2 linked regions of the Drosophila melanogaster genome follow. The gene in region 2 interacts genetically with the main gene of each other region. Each region holds a gene or a part of one and is shown on either strand. Other genes may lie near its edges.

Region 1 (6,785 bases), 7.2 Mb from region 2:
TCGAGAAGTAATCATCATCAATTTTGTTAGCTAAGCTGGATATTGTACCTACGTATCCTTCATATAAAGAAGGATGCTCGACGCGCCTATGGAAGGTCAGCAGCAATCGTGTTCGATTCGAGTGATTCAAGAATGATTGAAAGTATAACACATGCAAAAGAGTGGCGTGTTCTAATTAATTATCCAAAGAACGCAAAGCAAAAGCAACAGAAAACATGATAGTACCTGTAGAAGGACTGAAAAATCGTACGTTTAGCGGTCCAGATCGTCCTAATTTTATATCTTTCAATGACAAAGACAATATTCACATAAAAAATACAAATTATAAAAGTTTCAAAATGACCACCACCAAGCCACCAAGCGGTGACCAGTCTTAACGCACTTCTTCTTTCATTTCGGAAACGTTGAAAACTAAATTTCTAACAAAGCATTCTGTCACCATTTACAAGGTTACTGCCCTTCAATCAATAGCAAGTTGATTGAGAATGTCATTGGGGGTGGGGGGAACGTGCATACCTTTCATGATTCCAAGGTTCTGGATGACCATGTGACCCTTGCGAATGACTTGGTTGCCCAGTTGACGAGTGCCAGTTTTGTTGGCATTCTCTGATTTGTTTTGAGCGCTATAATGAGTGCAAGATTTAGTTTTTCCCTACGCCCCTTTCCAAATGATCAAATACGCACTTGGCGAAGCCAATGAAGTCCTCATGATTGGTGTTCATATAGGCCAGCTCAAAGTCAATAAGCAGCAGGATCTGTTCCTTGCAGCTATGCTCGCGTTGGCGCACATGTGTTGTGATAATACGTTCGGTCTCCTCACGCAGACGTGGGTATCGACTCATCTGTTCAAAGATAAAAAAAAAAAATATATAAACTTAGTGCTTAGCTTGGTGCCAGCAAATAAGCCAACTTACTTTAGCTGTGCACATGCGCACGACCACAGAAAGTTCCTGTACGACTAGATCGACACACTTGATAACCGGCTCCTTGAGCAGCGCTATCTGCCGCTTGACAATCGCCTCGAACGCCATGTCGGGTGTGAAGAGGCCAACGCGAATACCATGGATATTTCGAATTGCAAATGAGATCTCTCGTCGCAGTTCCTTTTCATCGCAAGCCATCTTTACGATCTCAAAGCGCAGACTGAAGCAACGAGATGTTATCATATCAGTTTTAGGGGGCTTTTCAAAAAGACACCACAAACACCTACCGTTCATGGAAAATGCGATTGATCTTGGCGCCACCTGAGAGCTCGTTTGTGTTCACCAAAGCTGAGCCGCTGCCCTCGATAGTTCGCTCAAAGTCTGATTGCAGCTGCTGAATCATTCTGTAGGAATGTAAATACACCAGTTTAATCAAGAGCTACAAACGGAAATCCTTTTTTTTTTTGAACTTACTGGAGCATAGCTTTTGTTTTGATGCTAGCATCGCCTGGCTGAAAGTGCTTAAACTCCTCCACCTCCTTCTCCAAAGTGAGCATCTGCTTCTGCAACTTATCCCGCAGGCCAGGTAACGTGTCCCTGATGTGATTGGTTAGTTGTTGGTTGAGCACGCGCTGCAAGTAGGGGGTGCCGAGACGGTCGGCCATGTGCCGATAGGAGGGATGGCTCAAGAAGAACTTGCGTTCGGCGGCCAATGCCTGGTGGATATCCTTGCGCCCCTCGATATCCTTTTGGGATCTATTCACCACGCCAATATAGCCACGTCGCAGCGGAAGCAGCTTATTCTCCAGAATGTCGCGTGCATCGGTGCCCTCGTCCATCAGATCCAGCTTGGTTATAACGCCAATGGTTCGCACACCCTGTGGATCCACCTCCTTGGCCAGCTTGAGGGCATCCGAATTGGCCAGATCCGTATTGGCCGGGGTCACAGCCAAAATTAAACAAGTCTCTTTGCGAATAAATTGGAATATCATCTGCTTAATTTGCTGCTCAATATCCACCGGTTGATCGCCAATGGCCACCTTTGTCAGGCCTGGCAAATCGATCAGGGTTAAATTGAGTACGTGCGGCGAGTAGACGCGCAAATTAATTGGAATGTTTGAAATGCCTTTGTTACTACCGGTCACACGATCCGTTTCATCTTCGATTTCTTTTCTGATCTCATCGAAGCTGGAAAACTTCTTGCCTTTAATGTGAAGGAACTCGCCATATTCTGCAATAAATATCAATGTTAGCATTAGAAGATAGCTTCTCTTTAATCATATCAAATGCTCAACTTACCGGTAACTCCATTGATCAGTTGCAAGATTAGTGGTCTCCGAGTTACGATACCAGAGCCGCGCGGCAAGAAATCTCTGTAAAATGGGGAAAACGTTTTGTATTTAATAATGGAATCATAGAAGTCTTTGGTTTTTGGATTGTGGAGCCTGTTCATCTAACAATATTACTACTGGGCTTAAGAAGTATGTAGAAAGCATTAAGCCTAGTATCAAAACATTTTGAAATTGCATCGAATAATGAGTATTTGAGTTGCCAATACTAAAAACTTAATGGAAATTTAACTTATGACTTGCAGCTAGTGTTTAAATTTCCAAGTGAGAACTTCAGGACTCCAAAAGTGTTGGGCATTGTTTAATACCACTGAGTACTTAAAGTAAAGCTATTTGTTAGCTAGGCTAATAAATCAAATGGTAAATGGGTCATTTTGAACACTCTGGTCACCTACATCCTGTTCGCACTGACCAGAGTTAGAAGAAGCCTTCATTTTCCATTGACATTAAGACTTTGGCCTGCCGTGGCCGTGGGTCTCGCTGCCTCTCTCGCTTCCTCCGATGGCTCAGTGGTGTCAGGTGGGCGGGGGGCGGGGTAACCACCCTAATTGACACACATACATACATTCATACATACATATAAAGCACGGCGCATGCGAAATCTAACTGGACTATTTTGAACATAGTGGACTTATGTAAGCACAAACTTTACATGGCTCAATGCAGTTTGTAAATACATGAATGGGCATATTGATTAATGTTCTTTTTCAGCGCACCCCCCCCCCCCCTTATTTGCAAGCTATGAAAAATAAATAAATCGACTCTAAAGGAGGTCAAACTTTTACAAATATATTCGAAAGTAAACATATAGAATGTGAGTTACTCTACTCAATCGTTGGGCAAGAGTGGGGAAAAACTTAAATCGCCGACACACTATCATTTTGGCCTTATCTGCATTTTTTTGGGGCGTAAGCCATTGTTTTCTTTATATGTTTGTATTTAGAGTGGACACTAACAAAGAAAAATGAGAGACAGCGCAGGCTTATAGATACAAACACACAAGAAATCGCATTGATACATACAATTTAGATTTCTGTTTAACAAAATTCAAAATACGTATACGTAGATGTTCTACAATTCGTTTTGTGAATATAGTTTGCAGAGCTGCGGGGCTTTTGGATTTTCAACAGCTTTGTGCAGGTGAAAGATAAAATTCTTATTATCATAATTAAGTTAAGACCACTGATATGGTTTGGTCATTATGAGCAAGTACACTTGTTTCGTAGACACCAATTATTGATTGTTAATAAACAACCAAAAAAAAAAAAAATAATAATAATGCCTGAAAGCGAGTGCTATCAGCGATTACTCATAGTTTTTCAGTAACATTTAATTGGGCATTCCACGAAACGCAGACATAATAGAAAGAATAGCGCTACTTTTCGCTGAGCACTGGCGTGCAGAAAAATCGATTCGCTGCATGCCAAAGAGGGGTCTCTTCAGGTCCATTATCAATCACAATATATGTAGGCTAGATATTTGGGGTGCTGATAGGGTGATATGGTATGATAGTATGATCCCATATGAGAGGATAATATGCTGATAAGGCGTGCGGGGGATACTCACTTGCCCACAAAGTTCTCCAAAACGGAACTCTTGCCAGCTGACTGGCCACCGACCACCGCGATCTGCGGCAGATCCAGTTGCATGTGGACGCCGAGCGATGTGAACGCATCTTGCAGCTTGTTAACAATTGTAATTAAACTATCCATTGCGGCGAGGTCCGATTTCCCTCACAATTAGATTAGATTAGATATCAGATCAGATCAGATCGAACTGCGATCCCAACTCGTCCGGATGTTTGTGTTTTTACTGCTCAGCTCCCGGGTCTTTTTTTTTTCTATGCTGTTTCCTTTAATCGCTGGCTTTACTTCACTGCACACACTCCTCTGCAAAATACAATTGCTGCATTATAAATACTTTCATGCGTTCCATCACTTTTCTTTTCGTTTGTATAGATAACACAAAAAAAAAATTGACAAAATTTGTGTGCGGCGGTGGGGGTGGTGGTTAATAACAAATATGCGTAAATCGTGGGGGAATGGGGAAAATTGCAAACAGAAATCGTTATTGGAGAGCACTCATGAGTTACTCATTCTCCCACACGATTAACCAACCCGATATATTGTATGTACCACCACAATAACCTTTCTTGCTTCTTCGGATTATAATGGCGATGTAGCGAAACTTATTGGAATCGGAATTGGAATCGCGAAGAAGGTAAAGACGGGTATGATTGTTGGGTTTTGCGAGCAAAAGTGTTTATCGACATTTACACGAAAATAATTTGTATATATACTCCCAAACGAATTTATCATCGACTTTTCCAATTTGTCACTTATTTCTCAGGCGTAACTGTGTTGTGTTAGTGTAGATGTCATGTTTATCGCCACAAAGAGCGCACTGCGATTTGGGCTTTGGCTTGGTCTTTTAAACAAATATTCTTCTTATTGTGCAAAACTGACAACTATCACCACACTCCGCTTCCAAATCGTTTCAATGGATTTTTTCGACTAAAACTAGAGATGCAAGAAAGTAATCAATCTGTACCCGATAAGCTGGTCTGGTCTGATTTTTTTTGGTATAATTGATAGGGCTGGGTGAATCACTCGCGATACATCGATATATCGAATAGTTTCCGTATGCCGAAGCTAAGTGTTGGTTTCGATAACAAGTCCAGTGCTTTATCCGACATCGATATCAATTTAAGCGCAAGGTCGCCTACTATCGCAACTATCAAAAACAGCTGATTTGATTACATTAACTTACAAGTAATTATCTATCTATTTATTAAATTAAATGCACATCTACAATATGCATATCCTGAAGGGAATATATAACCAATACTAAAAGCTTATAAAACTATTCATTTTATGCGCATGTCCGGCTTTTCTGCGTTTTTGCTTTATATCGATAACAGATACAGATGCAGTGCGCAAGCTTTAAAAGCATAATAACATAATCGAGTATGGTAATGATTTGACCTTTGACATTCAATTTTAAGCCGTTAAAGCTTTTTTTTAGAAACGCAATCGATACTCTATTTTAAAACCACTCAACATGATGAACTAGTTGGGATAAAAGTAGCCAACATTTCAAACTTATTGGAAAATGATTAAACGTTTACAGACCCTACCCCTATTTTCAACTTTAGAACCCAATTTACATTGGATTGAATAACACTTTAATAATTAACATTATGTACATAAGTCGAGGGATTTAACAAACGTTAGGTTTTCGCAATATTTTGTCTATGATTAACCCAGGCATCTTTGGACTTGCGCATCTTGCCGAGAATCTTGTCCATAACTAAGCTATGGTTAAAACTGAGGAAATCCTGTCGCATCTCCGGCCATTCCTCATCCGCAGCCGTCTGACAACTCTGTGCGTCGCTTTCTTCAACTTCCGCATTTGAACTAGAGTAACTGTGCTGAAGATCGATTTTGGACAGAACCTCGTGGACCTGATGGAGACCAGTGCTCGTTTTGTCCCGGACAAACTTGATCTTTGGCACTTCGCCCATCAGATGGAGCTGCGATAGCTCGTGCTGCAGTTTGCCGCTCATGCGATTCAATGTGTTCTCGAGCTCTTGGTTCTCCCCGCCATCCTTGCCCATCCAATAGACATTGATGCGGGAGAAGTCGCTGGTGATCTTGACATAGGAAATCTGCACTCCGTGTCCCACGATGGAATCGGCAACTGCGCCGGTGGCCAGAATATCAGTGATGTTCGTCATGAACAACTTGTTCAGAACAGACATGCGTCGATTGTTGTGGCTGCAAGTTGTCTTCGAGTGTGGGGTTCCAAACTTTAAGGCGTGCAGCGACTTTTGATTGCCTGATGTTCCTGCATCGGGCGATGGATACCAATGGCTTTTGCTGCCTTTAAGCCGATTTCCAAACAACGAGCCAAATATTTTTCCCTGTCGCGTTACGTTGTCTTTGCTCGACCTTTTGGAGCTCTTGTTTCGCGAAAGTGCCAATTGGCAGGCGTTGTTAAGAACGGAGTGTCCATTTTGTAGCCTTAAAACACGAATGCTTAACATTTAGTCTAGTTGCCTTAAATATATTTGCTAGCTTAGATAAAATAGAATGCAATACAAAATATAATGTGGAATAACATGAGTGAGACCAGCCACTTGCGTTTTTAAAATGCGTTAGAGATGGACGATAATTTCGAGCACTCTGGACCACTTTAATTTGGGGGATAGCTTATTTGCACTTCATTTAACTTCATATCTAAGAATTCACAGAATAAAAGTTGATTTTCGACAGTTGCTTGCAGAGTAACATGCCATATAACAGGCAAGTGTTTAAATAACCAAGTTTGCTCATTTTTATTTAATAATTTAAATTGCATTTTAGTTGTTGTCTTTTCCGTGTTTCAGATTATAAAAATATTAACATATATTCTATTAATTTGGAATAACATCGGAAAAAATCGAAAATATAACGTTACGATATATAAATTTGGAATTTCCGTTCACTGAGAACCGACGTTGATATATATATTT
Region 2 (7,299 bases):
CAGTATTCAAAACTAAAAAAAAAGTGTTCAGTAACATAGTAACCTAATGTCATTATAGTCGTGACACTACGACAGTTTTATTTTTGTGTGTCATATTAAGCATACGAAAAACTAGAAAATTCACAAAACAAGTCCACTCGTGCAGCTAAAGTGTACAATTAATAAGCATTCGAGTAACCGAAACATTGAACACTAATGGCAGGTCCTTTTATATCACCGCTGCCCGGCGATCTGCTCACGGAGTATATGTTTGGCCGTAGGCGACAGCGCCGGAACCGGACGACCTTCACGCCACAGCAGCTGCAGGAGCTGGAGGCACTCTTCCAGAAGACCCACTATCCCGACGTCTTCCTGCGCGAGGAGGTGGCCCTGAGGATCAGCCTCAGCGAGGCACGCGTCCAGGTGAATTCCCCCTACAGACCAGGCAAAGTATCCACCCAGTTGATCCGCAAACCTGCGAGATCCGATTTAAAATCCTATATAGAATTTGGGTGATTCGTAATGGGTGATTAGGAATTAACTCTTTTGGGGTGTTATTTATAGTTAAGGTACTTCTTCTTACCTTTAATGGCTTAGAAATAATTAGTACACGTTTCTTTATTTCATTTAATTCAATTTCCCATTTCTTGTATAAAAAATATAATTTAATGAATTAAAACAAAACACACTGAGTTGTAAGAGCGCAATGTGCAATATGTACAACAAATATAAGGAAATTGAAGTGATTTTGATTAACTTGGTCAAAAATATAAAAATAAAATTTTAGCTTTACTTGGCCTTTTGGATTATTATCTCATAAAATCTTGCAAATATTTCAAAAATATTAAAAGAATATGAATCTAGATCTTCGTTTTTAGATCCAACAACAAAAGGCCAAATCTATATAGAGTAAATTACCTTTTTTAATTGCAGGTGTGGTTCCAGAATCGCCGGGCCAAGTGGCGCAAGCAGGCACGACTGCAGCTCCTCCAGGACGCCTGGCGGATGCGCTGCCTCAGCCTGGGCACGCCCCCCGTCATGGGCGGTGGAGCGGTGCAGGGCGGATCCGGCAACGGAGCTACGGCTCGACCGCCCAGCCAGACGCCGGAGAACCTCTCTTCCGCGAGCAAGGATTCGGAACTGGCGGAGGTGGGCAATGGACCCAATTCGGGGAGCTTCACCATGATGCACCCGGCATTCCAGCAGCAGCATCAGCAACAACAGCACCAGGGACACCAGCAGGCCACGGATCAGGATAAGCTATCGAAGACCTATACAGAACTAAAGCTCTATAAGGCGCCGTCGCACGGCATGGAACTGGGCGGAATGGCCGCCCTATCCGGACACTCCGACGAGGGTTCCGATGGATCCGATTCCGAGGAGATTGATCTCACCTCCGGCGCCTGTATCGATTTCTCCCAGAGCAGCAAGCTCCAGCAGCAGCAGCAGCAGCAACAACAACAGGGAACTCAGGGGGCGGCGGGATCAGCGGAGGCGAATGGAGGCCTGTAGACGAGGACTTTTATCAAGATACGGACAGATATAAAGATGCGGACACGGATACGAATGCGGATACAGATACTGAAACTTTCACTTGTACAGTGCTCACTCCAATAAAAGATTCGAATAACCACTTCATAAGCATATCCTAAACATCTGTATGCGTATCTAAAAGTGGTTTCCTTAGGTGATGAATTTCTAAAACGGACACAACACATTTTGAATATCCTAAATTTCAAATTCGAGCGCAATCTGTACACATAAATATGGCGATGTATATACAAAACGGACATTTAATGTACACTTTATTTAATCAATTACATCTGTTTAGCAATAAAAAAAAGATATATGAAACCCAGTATCAAGTTCTTTCTCTGTTTAGATATATATTTATATATACATTAGTATATACATTTCTATTATATTTTAATATTCAAATATTACAAGTAGGAATATTTTTTTTTTTAATCCAATAGATAAGATCACTTTTTAGGTTTTTTATTGGATTTTTTCTTACAAGCAACTGTGGAAGTATTTTGAAATTGACTCAAATCGGCAGAAAAGAGAATCTGAAATAATGATATTATAAGAAACACACAGACTAAATTGCAACTTTCAGTGTACTTACAGCTTGAGCCCAACCGGCATACTTTCCGTGTAGCTTTTGAAAATGTTTCGAGACCTCTTCGTAAATCTTCTTGGTTACGTTCTTTTGGCCGGTTAGATGTGGCAGGTAGTAATTTTGGGCAATTCTGTAAATATGAATGTCGACGGGCACTGACTCCAAGTGACCCATTGACATAAGGCAGATGCAATCGGCCACTTTGTATCCGATTCCGGGTAGCAGTGTCAGCTCCTCGCGAGCTTTTTCGAACGGCATGCTCTTTAGGCTTATGAACCAGTTTTGTCCCCCCTTTTTCTGGATCTCTTGCAGCGTTTGTGCTATGAACTTGGCCCGATAACCGAACTTGGCAGCCCTTAGCTGGGCATTAAGATCCTCGCATGGGATGTCGTGGAATCTATTTATCGTGGGAAATGTATACGCATCGGCACCATTGAAGTGACCAATCTTGGTGCCAAATGTAGCGCAAAACCATTCAATCATAGATGATATGCTAAGAAGAAACCAATTTACTGTATTTAATGATGGGATTCGCATTTGATTGAACCACCTACCGCTTGATGTTATTGTTCTGACTGCAAAGGAAGCTAAAAATGTTTTCGAACGGCTCCTGAGAAAGGAGGCGCACAGGCTTACTCAAGAACTTCACAAAGTTATCATCTTTGCTTAACCAATCTTTTTGGTTGACCTTTAGGTCGAAATCAACACGTAGGTAGTCAGATATCAAGGAAGAATAGTCCTTCGTGGCCAAAGGACTGCTGGTTCCGTATGCCTCGTAAGTTATGAAGGATTCTTCTTGCTGGAGCACCCAGTAGGTGTTGAACACCACTCCGCCATATTTCGTTCTATTACCATCGCATATGGATCGCCATCTGGCATGTAAAGTTGTTTTGAGTACATATGTTCATTATTAGTATGGATAGCGCTTACCGGAAACTCTGTCCTCCAAGCAAAGTTCTTTCCAAATCGCATTCTTCGAGGGATAAGCCTATGACACCCCGATCCTGTAAAACAGCCTTCATGTTTGAAAAAAGGCGCTTTTTATGGAAACCTAGGTTATGAGCCAGCATCCGGTTTTATAAACAACTTAAGCCGTGTTTTGGCATACTTAACAATAGTACTTTGTCACGTTTAAATAGTAAACCACATTAAAACTCGAGTTTAAATCGAAAGAAACAAACTCGCTGAATAAAATGTGTTATTGCTATCAGCTGTTTAGCATTTGTTTACCGTTCGGGGTATTCACAACATTCTACTTTTGCTTAGACGCCAGTGTTGGAAAATGTAAATTTTCTGTTCACAGCTGCACAATAAAGTACCAATAAATGCAGCAATGTAGACGAGGGCTTCGAAAAATGCACCTAATTGAACAGTTATATAGTCAAGCCTGTTGCCTTGAAAGGAAAAATAGTTGCAGTATTTTTCATGTTGCGTTAAAGCACGCAGTACGAAATTACCTTTAGGTATAAATAAGACCAGGTACATCCCGTACATGAAATATCCCGATTATATTATCGAACCATATATTATCGATAGCAGACGACTAATTTGATTTGCAAAAATTGCACTCCAACAACAATGATTTCTATCTGCTGTTCTCGTTTTTCATGCATTTTATTTTTGCTGTTCCTGATCTTTTCCCTCGTGCTGAGCTACATATGGTGGAGCCCGACGAAAGGAGGAACCAATCCGGAGGTCCTGCCGGTCGTTCTGTGGCACGGAATGGGCGACACCTGCTGCGTACCCTTCAGCCTGGGTGCCATTATGAACCTGATCGTGGAGCAAACAAAGGGCGGCTATGTGCGATCCCTGCAGATCGGCGGCAATGTTTTGATAGACTGGCAGAGCGGCTTCTTCATACATCCCAACGAACAGGTGGATTACGTTTGCAAGCAACTACTGCAGGATGAGCACCTGGCCAAGGGATACCACGCCATCGGATTCTCGCAAGGCGGCCAGTTTCTGCGTGCGGTTGCCGAACGTTGCCCGAATCCGCCAATGAGGAACCTTATCACACTCGGTGGGCAGCACCAGGGCATCTTCGGACTGCCCATGTGCCCCACCTTAACCGAAAAGCCCTGTGATTATATCACGAGGCTACTGGACAACGCCGCCTACGCACCGTGAGTCTATCTGTTGTTAAGGAATCCTAATATAATATAATTCCTGGAATTTACATGCTTATTAATCCAACACCACCATGTCGCCATCCTTGTCGTTTCCGTGTTAATTCTCTCTTCTCTCTTGCATACCATACACCCAGTGAAGTGCAGAAGGCATTGGTTCAGGCCACCTACTGGCACGACCCGATCATGGAGAACAAATACCGCCTGGGCAGCACATTTCTCGCGGACATTAACAACGAGCTCTTCATCAACAAGTTCTACATTGAGAATCTGCAAAAGCTTAAGAAGTAAGCGCGTATTATACTTATACATTTATCAAATATTATTAACCTCTGCTTTGCAGATTTGTGATGGTGCAGTTCCTAAACGACACAATTGTCCAGCCGAAGGAGTCCCAGTGGTTTCAATACTACACCACTGGGCAGAACAAAGTCATCCAGCCCTTTACTGAGAGCAAAGTCTATCAGGATGTACGTATGCATATCTATCACCTAACGTTCTAATATGAAATGTACATTTTTTCCTAAAGCTGGGACTGGACAAGATGCATCGACAAGGACAACTTGTCTTTCTCGGCGTCGAAGGTGATCACTTGGCCATATCCAAGGCCTGGTTTATCCAGAACATAGTGCCTCTCTTACTCGAAAAATAAGATGGTGCCCAAAAAGCACGTATTGTGACAAAAATGTTTGCATAGGTTTAATCCATTCTTCCTATTAACATAAGCATTTTAATATTAATAATGACTTTTTGATACTTTTATACATGTTTAATTAGATGTTTAATAAATTCAGTTTGGACATACAAAATGTGTTGATTTACTGTTCTTATTTTCCTCTTTTTCTCGCTTTCACTGTTTATCTTAATAACTTAAACGTTAGGATTACGTCTCTTGTAGATGTCTTAAGTAGTTGTGCCCGATATTTCTCTGAAATATTCAATGCAAGGCAACCGCGTGCTCCGACTAAAATTCCATACACGTATCCGTATCGTAAATACTCCGTATATATATATATATATATATATATATATATATGTATGTATGTATATGTATGTTTTGTTAGGTATATAACGCTATGTACATGAGGCAAATAACAAAAGCAGCTTACAGACAACCATAGACAGATAAATGTTTACACATAGCTATAGTTTAGATAGGCGATTGGGCGGAGAAAATTGCGCGAAAGGTTGGAAAAAGGAAAGTCAGCGGGAGCGGGAATTGTAGAATTGTATCCAAGTCATATGGCAAGCACATTATAACTTGGACTTTGGATTGGTGTTGCGCGCAAAGAAGATTTCCGGATCCTTGTGCGGACGCTGGATCTCGCGATAATTGTTGACTATCTTTTTGGACTCATCTTTGGGACACGATTGCAAATTGCGAAACACCTGAACCTGCAAATCAAAAGAGGTTTCTCAAATTTAGTGTTCCAAATGAAAGTATTTGGGGGATCATCTTGGTGAGAAAAACACGCACCTGGCCGCGAGACACATAGATGGGGGTGCGGTATATGATCCAGGTGACACTCTCAAAGTACGGCGCCGTTGTCAGCGAACCCTTGTACGTGTAATAATGTTTGCTCAGCTCCTGCAGACCAATCCATGATAGGCAATCTAAAAAAGCAGAGCCAAGAGTAATAGAGTAAGTCACATTTTTAAAACCATACTCGGTGAAAATTGCACACGCACCGGAATCCAGCGATGCACTCGTATGGATCTTTTGAACGATGCGGATGCCCTCGGTGATCTTCTTGAACTCGGGACAGTCCTTCTCGCCGCAGGCCTGAATAAAGAATGCGACGACGGCCAGGCCATCGGGCTTGTTCTTGGCCTCCGTGAAGTCCTTGTACTTCGAATTGTAGTGGACGGCATGGGCCTCCATTGAGTACTTCATGCCCTCCAGTGTATGCTCGCAGCCGGATTCATCGCAGTCCGACCAATGGAAGTGCAGCTGCTCGAACACGTACATGTCCTGCTCCAGGGCACCGCCGATTATGTATGGCTGTTGTTTTCGCTTGCTGAATGTGACCATTGCGGAGGTGCCTGTGTTCTGTACCCGGGCCACGCCCACCGGCTCCCAATGGCCATGGTACTCTAGTGGATCCACATCGTCAATGTGCTCGATGGCACGGTTGCTGATCTCAATTGGGGATTGTACGGGCATTGCGCTTTCCCAGATTCCTCCTCGAATTAAATTATGCTAAAAAACAAAAGCACATCGACATTAGAATTCGCCAAATATTTCATAATTAAGATGATCAAAGCCAGTGAATTCAAAGCTCATTCATAATAACATAAGAAAAGACGAGCCAACGATCAATGTATAACAACAAGTGATCAATGATCTCAGATCTCAGTGCATTCCGCACATATGCACCTTTTTTCCAGTTTTGATCTCCTAATCCTAGCTCCTAGCACCGATTCCTAGCACCCAAACCGCACTGGCTACTCCACTCCTCCACCGACGACGACTCCCTATGTGATATGCGCTGCGTTCAGGTATTTCTTCTTCCGGAGCTTGTACACACGCCCGCGATCGTCGGCGCTGGCGTCCAAATGCTCGGCTGGTGACAGCAGCGCGGCTCGCGGCGGCGGTGGCGATGTCGACGTCGTGGTGGCGACTGCTCCGCTGGGCGCTCGCGTCTCGGAAAAGTTCTCTATGCCGGCGCCTCCAACGACCGACGCCTGCTCCTCCTTTTCAGATCCACGGATTGGTTAAGCCCGCTTGGAAATGCACCTGCAAGAGGCAGAGAAATCGAGTTAATAATGTTCAGCTACTTTAAGGATATAAACAAACGCGAATTCATGAGCATCTTCCGTTTTGGGTGTAATTTCTATAACCGGATATATCCAGCAATATCAAGTGTGTAAAAGCGGTAATTTCCTGTATCCAGAGCGAAACGAGAGTCTACCATTCACGGCCACGGAATCAATTAAATGTTTAGCGACTCGCGTGCTGTTGATCCGCCCCCTTCGCCATCCCCCTTCACCAACCCCTTAACCAACGAAAATTGATACTCCGCGGCCAATGCATTTACCACCCGCCACCCGACCATCCGCCTTTGATTAGCC

Evidence for each region. A genetic interaction does not mean that the proteins touch.
Region 1: of Ppt1 (region 2) and shi, changing one enhances a phenotype caused by changing the other (phenotypic enhancement), as found in Drosophila melanogaster (2 studies listed by BioGRID).

What each region holds. Positions count from the first base shown.
Region 1 is NC_004354.4:15,890,204-15,896,988, reverse strand, and holds the start of shi (shibire), read right to left. Parts: upstream 4,790-6,785; 5' UTR 4,738-4,789; exon of another isoform or gene 4,408-4,737; intron 4,162-4,407; 5' UTR 3,985-4,161; coding exon 3,839-3,984; intron 2,297-3,838; coding exon 2,223-2,296; intron 2,155-2,222; coding exon 1,398-2,154; intron 1,328-1,397; coding exon 1,211-1,327; intron 1,144-1,210; coding exon 915-1,143; intron 843-914; coding exon 685-842; intron 624-684; coding exon 517-623; intron 283-516; coding exon 226-282; intron 1-225. Other genes in the region: CG15916 (uncharacterized protein), read right to left, coding at 5,502-6,317. UniProt on the Drosophila melanogaster protein: Microtubule-associated force-producing protein which is involved in the production of microtubule bundles and which is able to bind and hydrolyze GTP. Implicated in endocytic protein sorting.
Region 2 is NC_004354.4:8,686,360-8,693,658, reverse strand, and holds Ppt1 (Palmitoyl-protein thioesterase 1), read left to right. Parts: upstream 1-3,431; 5' UTR 3,432-3,580; intron 3,581-3,612; exon of another isoform or gene 3,613-3,640; 5' UTR 3,641-3,679; coding exon 3,680-4,224; intron 4,225-4,364; coding exon 4,365-4,514; intron 4,515-4,570; coding exon 4,571-4,697; intron 4,698-4,756; coding exon 4,757-4,879; 3' UTR 4,880-5,032; downstream 5,033-7,299. Other genes in the region: CG11294 (uncharacterized protein), read left to right, coding at 196-402, 913-1,491; Ogg1 (8-oxoguanine DNA glycosylase), read right to left, coding at 1,962-2,048, 2,108-2,594, 2,656-2,973, 3,032-3,171; CAH3 (carbonic anhydrase 3), read right to left, coding at 5,482-5,622, 5,705-5,841, 5,917-6,391. UniProt on the Drosophila melanogaster protein: Cleaves thioester-linked long fatty acyl groups such as palmitate from modified cysteine residues in proteins or peptides.